Linked DNA regions of Drosophila melanogaster. The protein of the gene in region 2 interacts with the protein of the main gene of each other region in a pairwise test. Each region holds a gene or a part of one and is shown on either strand. Other genes may lie near its edges.

What was found.
Region 1: the proteins of CG4991 (region 2) and CG4835 interact in a two-hybrid assay, tested with the Drosophila melanogaster proteins (one large-scale study listed by BioGRID).
Region 3: the proteins of CG4991 (region 2) and TwdlW interact in a two-hybrid assay, tested with the Drosophila melanogaster proteins (one large-scale study listed by BioGRID).

Annotation. Positions count from the first base shown.
Region 1 is NT_037436.4:5,477,246-5,484,300, reverse strand, and holds CG4835 (uncharacterized protein), read right to left. Parts: upstream 4,512-7,055; 5' UTR 4,452-4,511; coding exon 4,445-4,451; intron 4,306-4,444; coding exon 638-4,305; downstream 1-637.
Region 2 is NC_004354.4:17,100,010-17,105,526, reverse strand, and holds CG4991 (uncharacterized protein), read right to left. Parts: upstream 3,319-5,517; 5' UTR 3,275-3,318; coding exon 3,206-3,274; intron 3,152-3,205; exon of another isoform or gene 3,131-3,151; coding exon 2,127-3,130; intron 2,019-2,126; coding exon 1,843-2,018; intron 1,684-1,842; coding exon 1,442-1,683; 3' UTR 965-1,441; downstream 1-964. Other genes in the region: Arpc3B (Actin-related protein 2/3 complex, subunit 3B), read left to right, coding at 1-44, 541-885.
Region 3 is NT_033777.3:17,140,504-17,144,711, reverse strand, and holds TwdlW (TweedleW), read left to right. Parts: upstream 1-2,307; 5' UTR 2,308-2,399; coding exon 2,400-2,414; intron 2,415-2,485; coding exon 2,486-3,397; 3' UTR 3,398-3,504; downstream 3,505-4,208. Other genes in the region: CG5265 (uncharacterized protein), read right to left, coding at 3,674-4,208.

The DNA.
Region 1 (7,055 bases), on a different chromosome or scaffold from region 2:
TTGTTATATTTACCCTCAATTGTATATGTCCTGCCTGCCACCTCACACCCTAAGGATAATTCCTTGGCAATTGTGTTTTTATGTGGCCAACCCCAAATCTGATTAGACGAGCTTCCGAGGGTTTCAGCTTTGGGCCAAGAACGGCAGTATCAGGCTACGATAAATGGCTGAAACTTGTAACTGAGCAGGATATCAGACGTGGCATTGTCAAGGGGAAACTGCTTTTAGCCTGTTGCTAAAAATACTGTCGCGCGTTTGCGTCCCCTTGAGGGTCTTCGTTTGCAATCCTTTCGACAGGAGGTTCTGCAATTCCAATCGGCTTGTTACCTGTCCGGGGAATTGACTGTGTTAAGTGGTAAATTACTTTTTTTTTCTTGGTTCCGTTTTTTTGCGACATATTACGGGAAAAGGGTTTGCATGTAATTGATACTAAAACTGGAGCAAAGTATATGTCTAAAAAGTGAAACACTTAAAAAAGGACTTAGAAAGCCCTAGAAGTGTAATGTGTGAGGAATATGTTAAGCGATTCCCAGCTATTGAGCATTTGTGCATTTACCCAATTGATTTTTTGGGGTAGCAAAAAGAACAGAAATGGAAAAGATTATTGCTGTGATTTATGCTTTATTAATATATTTTTTTAAAATTCAATAAAAAGACACCTTTCATTGGGAACAGAGGTGCATTGAAGAAGATTATCATCGAAAATCGTTCCCTCATCGCAATCCACGGCATATGGAATGGGATAGTCACAGACGACATAGCGACCGCAATCATTGGGATACGGAAGCAGAGTTCCAAGAGCTTGGCCACAGCATATATTGGGGGTGTACGGATCTAGAGTTGTTGGTGTAGAAACTGTGGTTGTCGATTCAGTTGTTGTTGTTACTGTTGTCGATTCGGTGGTTGTTGTCTTTGGAGTTGTTGAAACGGTTGTTGGCTCGGTTGTCGTTGGGGTTGTTGAAATTGTCGTTGACTCGGTTGTCGTTGGGGTTGTTGAAACTGTCGTTGACTCTGTAGTAGTAGTCTTTGGAGTTGTTGAAATTGTCGTTGATTCCGTGGTAGTTGTTTGGGGAGTGGTTGTAGCTGTAGTTGATTCTGTGGTTGTTGTTGGGATTGTGGTTGACTCGGTAGTAGTGGTCTTTGGAGTTGTTGGCTCGGTTGTCGTTGGAGTTGTTGAAATTATCGTTGATTCTGTGGTAGTTGTTTTGGAAGTTGTCGATTCTGTTGTAGTTGTTTGGGGAGTGGTTGAATCTGTGGTTGTTGTTGAGATTGTGGTTGACTCGGTAGTAGTAGTCTTTGGAGTAGTTGACATTTCTGTAGTGGTAGCCTCGGGTGTTGTTGAAACTGTTGTTACCGGTGTAGACGAAGCTTCTGTACTTAAAGTTGTAAGCCCTGGTGTGGTTAACTTAGTGCTACAACCAGCTAGTTCGGGATCCATGCAGGTCAATTCCGTGGGACTAAACTCCAAACCATCCGGACAATCGTAACCAACTGGTATTGGATATTGGCACTTTATATACTTGCTACAGTTTCTCGGGTAGGGTACCAAGGAGTCGTCTGTCTTGCCTTCACAAATTCCATCTGCCGGCTTTTCAGTTGTAGAAGCTTCCGGGTTAGTTGTTCCTGGTTCCATTGTAGTAGATGATGGTGGTGTTGAAATTGTTGAAGGTGATTCAGAAGTATCAGTAGATAATACTGTAGATGATTCTGTAGTTTCTGTTGATTGTCCTGTAGATGATTCTGTTGTTGATTCCGTTGTTGATTCTGTTGTTGATTCTGTTGTTGATTCTGTAGATGGTTCTGTTGTTGATTCTGTAGACGATTCTGTAGAAGATCCCGTTGATGGTTCGGAAGGCGTTGTTGAGCCTTCCCCGTCTCTTGGTGTAGTCGTCGACTCCGATGGCTTAGCAGTGGTTGTAATCGAACAATTGGCGAGTGAAGCATCAACACATTTTCCAAGCTCCACACTAAATTCATCTCCTTTTTCGCATTCAAAGGCAACCGCAATGGGTCTATCGCACTGAATATACTTCGAACAATCGTTGGGATAAGCGACAAGGGCCCCATCCTCGACGTCGTCACAAGGTCCTTTCTGCGGTGGTGGTCTCGTAACCGCTGTGGTCGTTGTCGGCTCACTGGTAGTTGATGTGGTTGAAGTGTAGTCCCATCGACAGGCATCTGAAGGAACATCCGCTCCACACTTTTCAGTAATTGGATCGTAGTACTCCCCACAATTACAGACGTCCATCATGTAAATGTAATCATCCACACAGCGTATGAACCATTGACAATTGTCCGGATATGGGAATGTATCCCGACTGCTATTTGTACACATGGTCGGTTCCGGAGGAGGTCTTGTATAGCCTGGTTCTAGAGTCGTTGTGCTTTGATCACCCTCACAATCACTTTCATCCCAATCATCAATGCACTTCTCTAACTTGGAACTGAAGAATGTACCATCGGGACAGAAGAACGCTATGGGAATTGGTGAAACGCACACAATGTACTTGGTGCAGTTGTTGGGATAAGCAATATTCTCGTTCTCATTTCGACCACCGCAAATACCAGTTTTTGGGGCCACAGTTGTGGTTGTCCTTTCGGTGGTTGTAGCTGTGGACTTGGGTGTGGTATTTCTTTCGGTTGTTGTGGTCTCTGTCGTTGTTGTTGTTGTGGTGGTTGTGACTTGTGATGGTTTGCACGCATCGGGTGCCACATCAGGTCCACACTGACCTGTGCTGGGATCAAAATAACTGCCGTAAATGCAGGGTGCCAGAGTCCATTGTCCGCCGCCCAAGCAAAGATAATACTTGCTGCAATCATCCGGATAAGAAAACGAAGCTCCCAACTCCTGACCATCGCAAAGCTGATCTGGTCCCAAAGTTGTTGCCACTGTGGTGGTAGTCGTGGTAGGAGTGGTTTTTTCAGTAGTAGTAGTTGGTATGGTGGTTGGAATTGGTGTCGTGGTGCGATCTCCAAGGCACACAACATCATCTGGCTCATCGCATACAAGCAAGTCGGGATTGAAGAGCGTATTAGGAGGACAATGACCCATTTGCACTTGATTGTCTTTACATATTAAGTACTCCGAACAATTGCCTATGTAGGCAAAAATAGTGCCGTCCTTTTCATCTTTACAATCATTTGGATCGACATCAGAGGGAAGTCCATCTGTAGTGGTTACAATCTCTTCTGTGGTGCTAGAATGTATTTCCGTTGTAGACCCATCAGAAGGCAGTGTTGTAGGCGTTGAAGGAGTTGTAGTGATTGAAGGCGTCGTCGTGACTGAAGGCGTCGTTGGTTTGTTGGTTGTTCCCGGAGTTGTGGGGAATGGCAGGGGGTCACACCGCACCGAATCGGGTGTATCGCAGATGTGCAGCCAATTATTAAAGAGTTTATCCGGCTGGCAGTAATCCAAATCTGTGCAACCATTTTTGCAGGCCAAGTACCCACTGCAATTGTAAGGATACTCATAGAAACCATTTCCCTTCGGCACACAATAATCCTCTTCAATTCCCTCCGGCGTTGGACCGCAAACCACATCCTCCTCAGTTGTTGAAGTGGGCGGCATTTCTGTTGTGGTTGTAGGAAGGGGCAGCTCCTCGCAATCTGCCATATCGGGAGTATCGCAAATGCCAAGGTACTTATTGAATACCTTGTCTTCAATACAGTAATTTAGCACGGGCCAGCCGTAAGTGCAGTTTATATAGGCCTGGCAGTCATATGGATAATAATGTACCGAGCCATCCTCCTTGTTGCGACAGTAGTCATCTGAAATTCCCGGTGGTGCCGGTGGTGGATCCCAACTGGATGTTGGGAGGTAACTTGAGGGGGTAGAGGACGTTATCTCTGTACTGGTTCCGGTGGTACTTTCTGTCGTTATCTTTGCCGTACTTGATGGTGGTTCTGTGGGTTCTGGCGTTATCTTTTGAGTACTGGATGTTGGTTCTGGCGTAAATCGAGTAGTTCCATCCGTAGGTTCTGGCGTTTCAATCGAGTAGTAGATACATTCTACAGCTTGGGGATAATTACATTGCTGGGTCTTATTATCCCACCAGAGATTTGCGGGACACAACTTCACCGTGGGATAGAGACAGTCGCAAACTAGGAACAAACTACAGTTATCCGGATACGGTACCAAAGCACCAAAGTCCTTGCCCTCGCACATCACCTGGTTTTCGTATCGCTGTTCATTGTTGCAAGTTTCGTGACGAGGTTCGATCTTTGGCAGGGCCAAAACATTTAGCTGCCAGCTCCAGAATACGGCGATAACCACCAGAAGCCATGGCAAAGGCTTGAAAATATTATCTGGAAAAGGAAAGAATACAATAATAATACAAAAAAAAAAACATACAGAGACTATTACTAGTATTTAAGTTTAAATATTTATGTATAATTGACATAATAATTTATTGCATTGTACTTGCATAGAATATCTTAGATTTACCTTGCATAACAACTCCCCTTTCTAAATTGTACTATATATTTTTAATAGGTCTTTTCGCCTGCGAGTTTAACTCCACACTGACTTGTTAACTAGGCCAACTGTCTTGTCTATAGCAAAAGCTATTTCCTGATACAACGTCGGTAGCTTATATTAATGACATTTTGATTAGATTTAATTAGAAATTCTTTGAAATTTATAGAATATCGTTTTCATTCTAGTGATTGTGATTTGTGATTTTATGTTATCGTTAACTTCTGAATTATTTTTCTTAAGTGCCATTTCAACACGAGCAACACAAGATAGTTTCCGTAATATTCTAATCTAGTGATAAGCCAATTACGTATTGAAGTCTTATCGTGGCGTCATAGATTGTTTTGTTTATAAAGGTTAATTTTAAGCAAAATATAAGGCAGGAAGCTTCTCTGGGGTTTTCTTTAAGTATTTCCCCTACTGGTGTTTTTTTACACACGTATTGCTTGTGAAATGAGTGTCATTTTATATTCTTTCATTTCGAAGGTAAATCATTTTATCCTGTTCGCATGTGTTTTGTGTGCGCCTTTTGTGACTCTTATTGCTGCTGTTATTACACTTATTGTTCTTGTTCCAGTTCACGGTGTTGTTGGGTCTTTAATGAGCCCACGTGACCTTTCCGACAGCGAAGTTCGAGTCACAATTTATGATCAGCACTCGACGCGTAAATTACACGAATAAAAATGCGAACATAAACATAAATGAAGCTAGAAGTTTAATGCCCGGCAAGCCATTAAAATTAAGCGACAAAACATGAGTGGCACACAAAATACGGCATTAAGTAGAATTAGTTGAAAATGTATAAACAGATTGAAGAAATTTGTATCTCTAGTTTAAAGTGGATTTGCAAGCTGCAGTTGCATAGAAAGCTAGCCATGGTATTTCAATTTGTGCTGCAAATTACTTAAAAGCATACAAATCTATTTGTCTGAAGGATGTTTTTATGCTGTCTGGCTGACCTTTTTTCCATCCCTTCTTCAGTCGCCTTTGGGTTGACAAACAGTCACGAAGTTGGAAAATATAAAGTGCAGCCTGAAAGGACAAATCCATTAATATAAAAATAAAGTTGCATAAAAGAAAGTGCGGATTATTTAAGTACAGATTTTTTGAGATTAAAATAATAAATGGTTTTGGGTAAATTAAAGTCAGGAGTATGAATGAAACAATACTTATAGGTACTCATGATTACTCTTTTATAAAAAGATATATGAAATTTATTCTATACTTAGCATATTTTTCTTTGGAATTAGCTCAACAAATCAAATATAATCAAATGTTCCCACCTCTTTGGCCAAACTTGCTGCTGGACAATTTTTCAGCTTGATCTGTTGGCTGCTGTCAAGCGTTTGATCTGCAACAGATTGAACTATCAATTATGCCCCTGCATGCGACGTGACCAGCAACTGACATGTGCCACATGCCACACCCCATCCAAAATCTGGGAAACAAGAAGCAGGACCATCAGATGGCAATGTTAAAACGGACGTTTAGTTACAGCTGAGCACCTGCTCGCCTTTCTGTCCGCCTGGCTGCTCCTCAAAGGAATGGCGGCGGAGAAGCGGGTGAAAGCGAGGGAAAACGTGTCCTCCACGCAGCAAAGCTGCTCCTTGCCCCGTTCCACAACTCCTCCCCTTGTTTGTGTTGCATGAAATTGACCCGGTGCGTGTGTCGCCAGCGACTGGAAAGGATTCTCGGCGATCTGATGGGGGGTTTGTATATGGCGCAATGCATCCTGGGGCCTAGATTCATCACCGAGTCTGGCGGCATTCGTGTGTTTTTCCAGCTTCCAGAGATTTCACGTAAGCCCCTGTGAAACTCCTAAAAAACGTCCAAAACGTTTTTTAAGCCATATAAAAAATGTTTAATTACTAGAGAAAAAGAAACCATTATAAATTTGTTAAATATGCCCTTTGTAAGTCAGAAATAGTTGTCTGTAACCAATTTATTTTTGTAGCATTCAAAGCTTCGCAAAGTTTAAGTGATTGTTTCAAAATATCTGAAAATCCATTGGCTAAAATACCCAAGAAATTGGTACAAATGAACTGTTTGATTACCACAACCGAGTAAAAATCGAGTAAATGAAATACCGCAAAAGTGCAATCATGCAATGAAAACCCAAAATCATTGAGTACAAACCAAGGACCAAAGTTCCGGAGTAAACTAAAAAAACACACAAACAAAGTGCAGAGAATATGCATGTGTATATTCTTTTTTTTACCAATGCCGAAGGTCCTTTGGCTTTGTTACCGCTTTTTTGCCCCCTTTTCCCTTCCTTTTTTTCTGTTAATTAAAATCCAATGATTCCCAGAACCTTCTTTGGACTTCTTTTAATTTCTCTTATGTTTGTTTTGCTGAATTTACATTTTCTTTCTACTTGTTTCTTATTTTTTACTTCTGTTTTTTTTTCTTGTTGTTTTTGTATGCTGAGAGATTTTAATTGCACACATTTTTGCAACGTTTGTTGATAAGAATTTTTCGTGTACCTTTGTAGTTGTAGGCAACTACAATCAGCAAAATTAAAAATATTTTTTCCCCACCAGATTGCGGAATTTTTATTTCGGTGCTAGTTGTTAGTAAAGGC
Region 2 (5,517 bases):
ACTTCTGGAAATCGAACATTTTCTTCCGCACTTACGAAGTTAAGGTTGGTGACTGGACAAAGAAATGAGCATAGAGATAAAGCGAGGCGATATTCTAATTTTTAAAATGAAGATACATTAAGAAGACGGCACAGCTTGTTAAATATTTCGAAACAATCTTAAAGCCCTAGTGGAGTCAATTTTATAATGTTAAAACCAAGTGCGTTATCTCACCGCCCTTATTTGTAGAAATATGTCGTTACAATCAGCCTGATAAGAGTGAAGTTATTTGTTAAATTTTTAGTAATACCCCTTTCTTATATGGTGTTCCAAGAGTTGGGTATTTCTACATAATGAAATTATTTTTTTGGAGCTTGGAATTTTTTTTTAAAAGTTCAATAATAGCTTATAGCTTATATAGCTTATATTACTATATAGCTTATAGCAATAATAGTCTTATCAATTATGATATCATTCTTAGAATATTGTTGCTATGTTTAAACTTTTAAAATTACTTTTTAAAAAACCCCTATTACCCATACATTGTATATCTAATCGCAGTCGGAGGTGGACAGGGTGCTCATCTACATAACGCTCTACATCACGGAATGTTTGAAGCGATTGGCCCGATGCACAAGCAAATCGCAGGGTCAGCAGGAGCTCTATACGCTGGCCATCTCGCGGTTCGATATACCCGGAGATGCGGGATTTCCGCTGAACGGAATATACACCAAGCCCGAGGATCCGGAGCTGATGCGTCAGTACTTCCTGCAGTTGCGCCAGGAAACCGGAAACAGATTGCTGGAAAAGGTCTTTGATACTCCGGATGGAAAGCCGAGCAAGTGGTGGATATGCTTTGCCAAGAAGAAGTTCATGGAGAAGAGTCTTTCGGGACCGGGAATGTAAAAGACTCACTAATATACTGCCGATCTTAGAGTATTTACCACCAAAATTTACGAATAAACTGCTTTGAATGTATTAAATTCGTTGTTGATTTATGTTTATTGATTTATACGCTCTCAAAAGCGCATATTTTTCACTTTGTAAAAGAACTTAGTGTTAAACATTGTTGGCTGAAGGCTAGTTAATACTTTATACATATATATTTATAAAATCGATGAATAGCATTTATTACATACATATGGCTTTAACGATCATTTGCAGGCTCTCACACAATCAAAGCCCTATTGCTATGGTAATCAATTATTAAAATGGGTTATAGCTGCAGATCATGTTTTTCCTTTATGCCTCCTTTCGTTTTTGTGCCAAATAAACATTTTTTTTATACATACAAACAAAAAAAAAATATGCACAGCTTAAAACTATCAACAAAATAATAATAAAAAAAAGAGTGGAAAAATACACAAATTAATCTTACATCAGAACAGGACAACGCATTCACATAGTTCCGCGGAATGACAGCATTATTTATGTACAAAATATACTTGCTAGCTCTCTAAGCCTACTTAAACTCCTTGACGATCTCCACGATGCTCTGGTAGGTGCCAGTGACGATGCCCAGCACGGCCACCGTCAGGATGAGAATGTTTTTGATGTAGGACCACACACCCAGTGCCTTGGGCACCTGCGCCCGCGTCACGAAGTCGATCAGCACCGGAATCACAAAAGCCAGACAGGTGGAGCACAGTGCTCCGATCAGCGAGATGAACAGATTGAGCTTGGGAACGACCAGCGCAACGCCAACTGGAAAAGCACATATAGAAATATATTCCGAATAGCGTAAAAGCTATAGCTATGATCATTTAAAACGGATATTACTACATTATCATTGATATTGATCAATATAGTGATTCCATTTCCAATTGTATATATATATATTTTTTTAATTTACAACCCACTTACATGTCATCATCACCATAAAGAAACGGAGGCACACCTGCGAGGTAATGGGATACTTTTGAGTGCAGTTATTAGACCTCTTTAGTGGGGGCCACAAAATCTTAATCATCACAAAGAACTGGATGGGGTAGCCCAGGAAAACGCCCAAAGCAGCGATCACTTTCACCACCTGCGAAAAACTGCAATGAAATCAATAATATTAATAACAAAACAGGCGATTCGAAAATAAAATGTAAAAAATCATTACAAGTAATTTCATATTATCTTAACCTGGTGATTCTACTTACACTTCCTCCACTACAAGATTTAGCGTTATGCTGCCGGCTACCTCCTCGCCCCATCGCACATAGCTCACGAATCCGGTGAAGATGAACAGGGCCGTGGTAAAGAACATCGTGGAGTTGAGCACTCCGAACCGGGTGCTAAACTTCTCCGGTCGGCGCATCGAGTTCCGCAGCGGCAGGATGAGGGCGATGCCCTCGTAAGAGAACAGAGCGGTACCAAAGAACAGGGCCAACTGAGCTCCGCCAGTGAAGAGGTGCCTGTCGCCAACGGACGGCATGGGTCCATCCGAGAAGGCTATGGTCAGGGTGGCAATCAAGCCGAAGAGCAGCGCCACATTGGCAAACAGCGACACGGGCGAGATGTACTTCAGGTTGGTCATCAGCGAGGGTATCATCGCCGGTAGCAGGGTGATCAGCATCACCATGCTCATGCTGATAACGATGCCGTTCTGCTGGAGGACCTGGTGCAGATTTTCCGTGATGAAGACAAAGTAGATGGCGCAGAAGCCAAACTGCGTGACGCAGAGGAACATTTCAACGATCAGCTTCATTACGCGCGACATTTTTCGCAGTGGGCGTGGCCCGTGCTCGAAGCACTTCTCCACTGTTTCCGGATAGTCGAGAAAGTCCACGCCGGGCGTGCGCTCCACGGCCAGCACGGAACCACGGATCAGCATGCGCTCGCAGTGGACGCACATCACCGCAATGATGGGCAGCAGGATGGTTGCTCCTGCCAATCCGCCGTTCTTGAAGCAATCGCCCATGGCGAAGAGTCCGGCACCGACGCTGCCCTTGAAGAGATGCGTAGCCGCCTCCAGTTCGCTGGTCTCATGGCCGCGCCTGCGCACCGGGTCTCCGTTCTCAGGATCGGCGCCTTTCTCCGTCACATTCTTCGTGAAGCGCTCCGGATTCTTCTCCAGACTCTTATCATTCTGTCTTCCGGTTATTTCCAGTGTTCTTCCCATTTCGCCGGCTGCTTCGATCGCCTTTTGATCACTCTGCTGCTGCTGTGGATTAAATAGAAAATTTGAAAAAATCTCTCGTCGGCTCTAGAAGAAAGTCCAGAAAAGCTTAAACGGTACTTGCGTTCTCGCGGGAAAAAGACGGCCAGAGAAGTAGCGATGAAGTACAGTTAGGTCTCTCTTTGGCATTGTCTTTATATTTGTCTAAGCTTTAACCCCAGGTAACCCAACATACATAAGTACAAAATACATTATTTTGATGCCGCTTGAAATTTTTGAAAATATCTACTTTATAGTAATATACAAATTAATATTTAAATAGCTTCAACTCTTCTCCTATAAGATTTAACCCTAGAAAGTGACAATTAGAAAAAAAAAATATTTTCTTAAAGAAGTTCTTCATGATAAAAAGTATTGTAAATAATAACAGAGTTCGAAATTGAAATTCGTGCCATTAAAAATGCAGACACATATGACACAGTTTTACCATTGACAACATGCTAATTAATTCGCATAAAATACTGAATGCCAATTAAATACGCCCGATTCATTATAATTCCCATCGCTTTTGACCAGTTCAAATCAATGTCAAACCTCATAATATCAACAAACATTTGATTGCTTCCACGGCGGAATTTTGTGATTTGCAGAAATTAGCATATTTTTAGTGGCTTTGGTTATAAATTAATTTTTTTTTTTAACACTACAAGTAGCAGAACAATCAGTAAAAACTACGAAAATCAAGACCTTGATAATATTGAAGTGCACTTAATTTTGTCTGGTTTATAATTTACGAGCTTTAAACCAAATTAGAATATCCGTTATTGAGGCGCACACTGGAAATAAAAACTGATTACTGTCGCGCTCTCAGGGGTGAGTAAGCAAAACACTTTAAAGAACCGGAAAGTAAAAAAAAAAATTATAATAATTAACCCGCCAAGGCCACAGCACTTAATTATTCACACATTCAGAATGAGCAGTATGATGCACTTCCATCTCTTATGATTATTAGACACGGATTATTGGTGCAGATTTAGCAGCAAGTGTTATTCTCACCTAACAACACTGATTAGTACGTATTGAATATGTTGAATATATGTGCATTTATTTAGTCACTCGATCGGCGATGATCACCTCTTGCTCGCTGTGAGTACGCGATCAAGTGTATCGAGTGTTTCTGTGAATCGCCGGAATCGCACGAAATGTAGGACCGCTCACGGCAAGAACTCAAACCAGACTCAATGCTCGAGTTGGCCAACAGCGGCGAAAAGCGAAAATTGCAAAAGGCAAAAGTCGGAAGGCAGAAATAAAACAAAACTATATAGAAATAAAGAGCGGCGTCTGTCTGTGTGAGCGATGCAAAAAGCGCATAACGTTTAACCCCCTGCACTCGCTACAAACTAAAATACCACCCACTTCATGGTTTAAAAAAAAAAAATATGAATATAAATATGGCATAAGTGAGCCAACAATGCTAACCAAAAGTGCATTAAATAAATACCGAAATCTTAATTCAGATAATTTATCAACTTAATTACTGCTGTATTAACTAACTATGAAATTATTTTGGTAAAGTATGGGGTTAAAATGCGTGGGAGATCGGGGTGTGCGAGATCAATTCCGCCGATCCTAAAATCGATAATGGTTTTCTAAGCGATGTTTCCACCTGGTTGTTGGCTGACTCAAGACTCAAAATCACTTTTCCTCACTTTTCTTTGGAAAATAACGGGGGAAATGCATTGAACATATGGCAGATAGAATATAAATAAATATAAAAACCTATGTAGTATATAAATAGCGCGCAATCACTCATCGATAAAAGATATGATGTGCCGTCATGGATCAGTGGTTAATATAAATCTGTATATTTTCAAACAAAGTTTATTGCACATCAAATAAATAAAACATTCCAACTTTTCACATGTGCCATAGATCAATTCAAATTAGGAGAACGAACGAAACAAAATAAAGTGTATAAAACATGCTGATAATCGATGATAATTTATTTAATTAAGTATTGTTTCTAATTCATGCTAATTACTTTTATTAATTGCCTTACCAGGAAAAATATATCCCCTCTTCTATACGTTAATTATACTATCGAAATGCTTTCTCGACCCTTAAAATTGTCTAAGTATTTTTTATTAATTTATCTGAATTAAAACATGCTGCTCTAAATTGCAATTATATGATCGTCATGCGATGTTAGTTTATTTATTTACTATTTACTTTGGATCTACAATCATATGAAACGTGAGTGGAGATTGTTTAGAAATTAAATCCATATTGTTTTACCGCACCTGATTGCAGCTAAGTAATTATTTGCAACTAATTGTACTTAAACTACAATAAGTGAGCAACGTAGTTTAAGTACTGGCCTAAATTTGTTCAGTAGTTGAGTTTATGGCTGGCAATATTTGTTCTAAAGAACA
Region 3 (4,208 bases), on a different chromosome or scaffold from region 2:
AAAGGATCCAAAAATACCTATCAAAATTTCATATTTATGTTGCTTATACTTGAAACGAATAAGAAACTATCCTATTAAAATATGTCGGAAATCGATCCTCAATCATTTGTCAGTATTTGTTCAACAGCCCATGTAAAACTGTCAGCTTAAGCGTAGAAAAAACAAAACATGATTCGATACACATGCTTATTGAAAAAAAAAAAAACATTTTATTTTCTTTGGTTTTGTGGTCATCCGAAAATAGTTGTGAGCTCGAGGTGTCCCATAATTAATTTTTAACCATTTTTAGGCCAATAATTAAAAATGCATTTATTACGACCGGATGGATGGTAGGCATCGATCGCAGGGGCATTTATCGCCCAATCGTTTCGATGTGATGGATTTGGGATACGGATTCGCAGGTGGATGTAGTTTGGGTTCGGATTCGGTTGCTAATGCTATGCATAGGAATGGACAAAGGTAGCCTATGTCAAAATCTCTCATGGTGTGAATTAATAAATTAAAATAAAATAGTTTTGTTACGCAAATCATAATTTGTGTACCGTCAACATTCACTTTTATGCTTTGACTAATCTGCGCACCGAGTGTTTTGCATTCAATAGATTTTGGCAACTTATTCATTTTGCATAAAATATGCAAAGTGCGGCAATAGTTGGCACCCATTAATCATGGTCGCATTTTATTTCCATTTAAAATTGTAATTTTCTCTTGTTGCTACTTTTGAACTAATGCATTTAGATCTATTAATTAATGACAAAGTAATTTTGGTTTCCCATTACAAACAGAAAACAACTTATCGTATATTTCTTTGACAGATCTTTGCATCTTTAATGGCCCAAAAAGGGAACATAGTTTCGGTTCCATTTCACTGTTTTTCATGGCTCACGAAATTGGCGTGAGAAAGTTGAAAACCATTTTTTTTTTTTTTTGGCATCGACCAGAAAACATGTGGGCTAACTCATTATCTGGTGGCCAAGTTGCCCTTGGCTGGTTTATTTTGATTTGTGGGCAGAATTTCACCCGGCTAATGAGATGCACCCTGTCGGATGCACAAGATTTTGAAATATATCTCAGGTGGCAAAGTGGCAAGTGTGTAAGTCCAAATTGGAAAGGAAGCAGCAAAGCTTGCTATCTCCGCTTCGATATTACACCATTTGCACATTCACTCCATTAGTATGGAGACCTGCCAATTAGCCCTATAAGGTCTATATCTGCTTGTATTCCGTATGCATCTGCTTGTTATGACAACTAATTTCCGCTGGAAGCTGGCATATCCATTTGATACGCTGTGCTTTCGATTTGATCGGGGGTTATTTACCTTCACTTTTTTAGTTTGAAATCCAATTCAAATTCAATACTATCATTTTGTCTCAATTTGGCACATTTAAAGCTGACAATATATCGCCCAACACTTACGCCCCATCGAATGGAGACAAAAACCTAGACCTTGGGCCAGACCAAAACTGATGCGAAATACTGAAGTCCCCGGCATATACAATTTTCAATTTCCATTTGATAGCTCAGGTTTCGAACAATAAAACAAAATAGAGACAATGGTCCCGTAGACAAAAGTGCATTTTAAGTCGGTCGAGTAACCTCGTCCGCCTATCTTCGTCATCAATATTTACATATTACTCTGGGACATTCAACTGATCTGCAAAAACTACGAAGCTAAACAAAACTTTTGTATTAATTTAAACGACGATTTGATTGTCCACTTGGCAGCCATGGATATGCTTGGGTATTTTAATTATATTTACAATTAAATGATTAAGTAGTTTCTCAATAAATGTTTTTACTGCCTGTATGAAAAAATCTAAATATAAATCTATAATCAAATTCAATGAATTAATTGCAATATTGAGATTGAAGTTAGTATAGTTACTAGGGATCTGATGAATGAATAGTTATTTGAATTTTGTTTATATTCTGAAATCGTATTAGATACTTGCTTGGAGTGAACGCACACTTAATATATATTATATTTATAAGGCAAATGTTCAAAATGATATAGTTACAGCTCGACTAACTTGTTTACAACAAATGCAGATTTTTTTTTGTCGTATCTGTATCACCCATTGTTGGGGCTTCCTCTCGCTCGACTTTTGTGGAACCCCATGTAAAGTCGATACAAAAGCCCACTTGCCACCCAGCCAAATGAATCCGAACAACCTCTTCGCCACGCATAACAAATGTTTTATGACCCCTCGACTGTTGCAACTGTGTTGGCTGCTGTTTCACGATTTGTTTCCGATTATAAACAAGTTGGGCCCGTGGATTGGTATAAAAGGCCAGGTGCCCGGTTGACCCATCATCACAGCACTAAGAAACTCGGACAGCGAGGGAGCATCCGGCTTAAGACAGCTAACCAGCAGAGAGACACCCACCCAAGCGGCAGCATGAAGATATTTGTGGTGCGTTGGAACTTGGACTACCTCTATGCCAATTGGATTACAAGGGATTATAATGATTGCTTCTCTTTCAGACGGTTCTGATGGGCGCCATGTGCCTGAGCCTCAGCCAGGCTGACATCAGCTTGACCCAGGCGGGTTACAACTACCGCATCCAACAGCAGCAGCAGCAACAGCAACCGCCCATTGTGGCCCACCTGTTGAACCAGCAACTGCAGCAGCAGCAGCAGCTCCAGCCCCAGCAATCCTCGCACCCGGTGCTTCCACCTCTCCCACTGCCCTACCTCCCGCCCGCTGGCCAGTTCCATTCTGCCCAGCCTGCAGTTCGTCCCACAGCCGGATCGTTTCCCATGCCCGCCGGCTTCCCCGTCAATTTCCAGACCGCTCCCATCCAGCAGCAGCGACGCGCTCGTCCGCGTGTCAGGATTCCCAAGCGTCCCATTGTGACCAAAAACTTTTTCATCCACTCGGCGCCCGAGGAGTCTGAGGATGAGGTCCAGGACGAGCTGAACCAGTTGGCCCAGCAGCCCCGTAACCACTACAATGTGCTGTTCGTCAAGACGCCGGCTCAGACCAATCGCGCGGCGGCTCTTAACTTGGCCAAGACCCTTAAGCAGGAGAAGACCGTGGTCTATGTGCTGGCCAAGAAGACGACCGCCTCCGATCTGCAGGATGCCATTGCCGAGGCGCCACAGCACATCAATAAGCCGGAGGTGTTCTTCATCAAGTACCGCACTCCAGAGGAAGCTCTGAATGCCCAGCGGCAGATTCAGTCACAGTACGATACTTTGGGAGGAAGTTCGACCATCACCGACGAGGGTGTGGCCCCCATCACCTCGGTGGTGGGATCCCTGGATCCTCCAGAGGAGGAGGAGGAGGAACAGCAACAGCAGCAACATTCAGAGGGACAATTTGCGGAGAACGGTGCCGGAAACTCTGGCGTCGGTCCCATCGGCAATCATTATTTGCCCGCGAACCAGTTCTAAGTATTCTTCATTGCTCGTCACATCCAGATCTAGTTAGCTGTCATCAACACCACTTAGGTTTAAGTGCTTGCCAATGTTACCCAAATCCGTATTAAAATATAATTGTTAAAAAAAAAACCATTGAATTTTAACTAGATGACGATTTTAAGAAGTGATTAATAGTACTTTAATAAGTCCCACTAAATGGGAATGAATTTAGCTTTCCAAACTGAACGAACGTATTATTGGAATAAGAGGAATTTTTTTGGATCCAAAGTATGTTCTAGGAAAACACATTCAATACTTGCACTTAAGCTCTGGCGGCTTGTCTTTTGAAGCTGGACATGTTTCAAGTACATCCTTCATTTCAGCAAAGGACTGCGCAAGCGCCTTGGCGATCTTTTGGTGATCAGTTGCCTGACAATGTCGCCATGCGGATATGGCCAAAATGATGTCATGTTCACGGGGATTGTAGCAACAGGCATATCCATCTTCTACAGAAGGTCCATATCCCATGAAGGCATCATATTTGGTGGCCACCTGCGAAGTGGACATTCGAAAGTGCGTGGACTTTACATATCCTGGCGAAGAGAAGAACTCCGGAACAGGTAGGCAGTTCTCCACCGCCATTAGTTTAAGTCCAAAGAGGTGACGATCGACACCCTTTCCCAGAAGCGCCAGCTTCGCATACATCTGATGGCACATCACTGCCTCGCGAATCTTACTAGCCCGCTCCTGAGCTGATGCACTCACATCATCCATGGCGTGGCAAAAAGCCAGGGATTCATTGGAGCACGAACGGATGGTTTCGGTTCGGCCGCCATCGAAGATG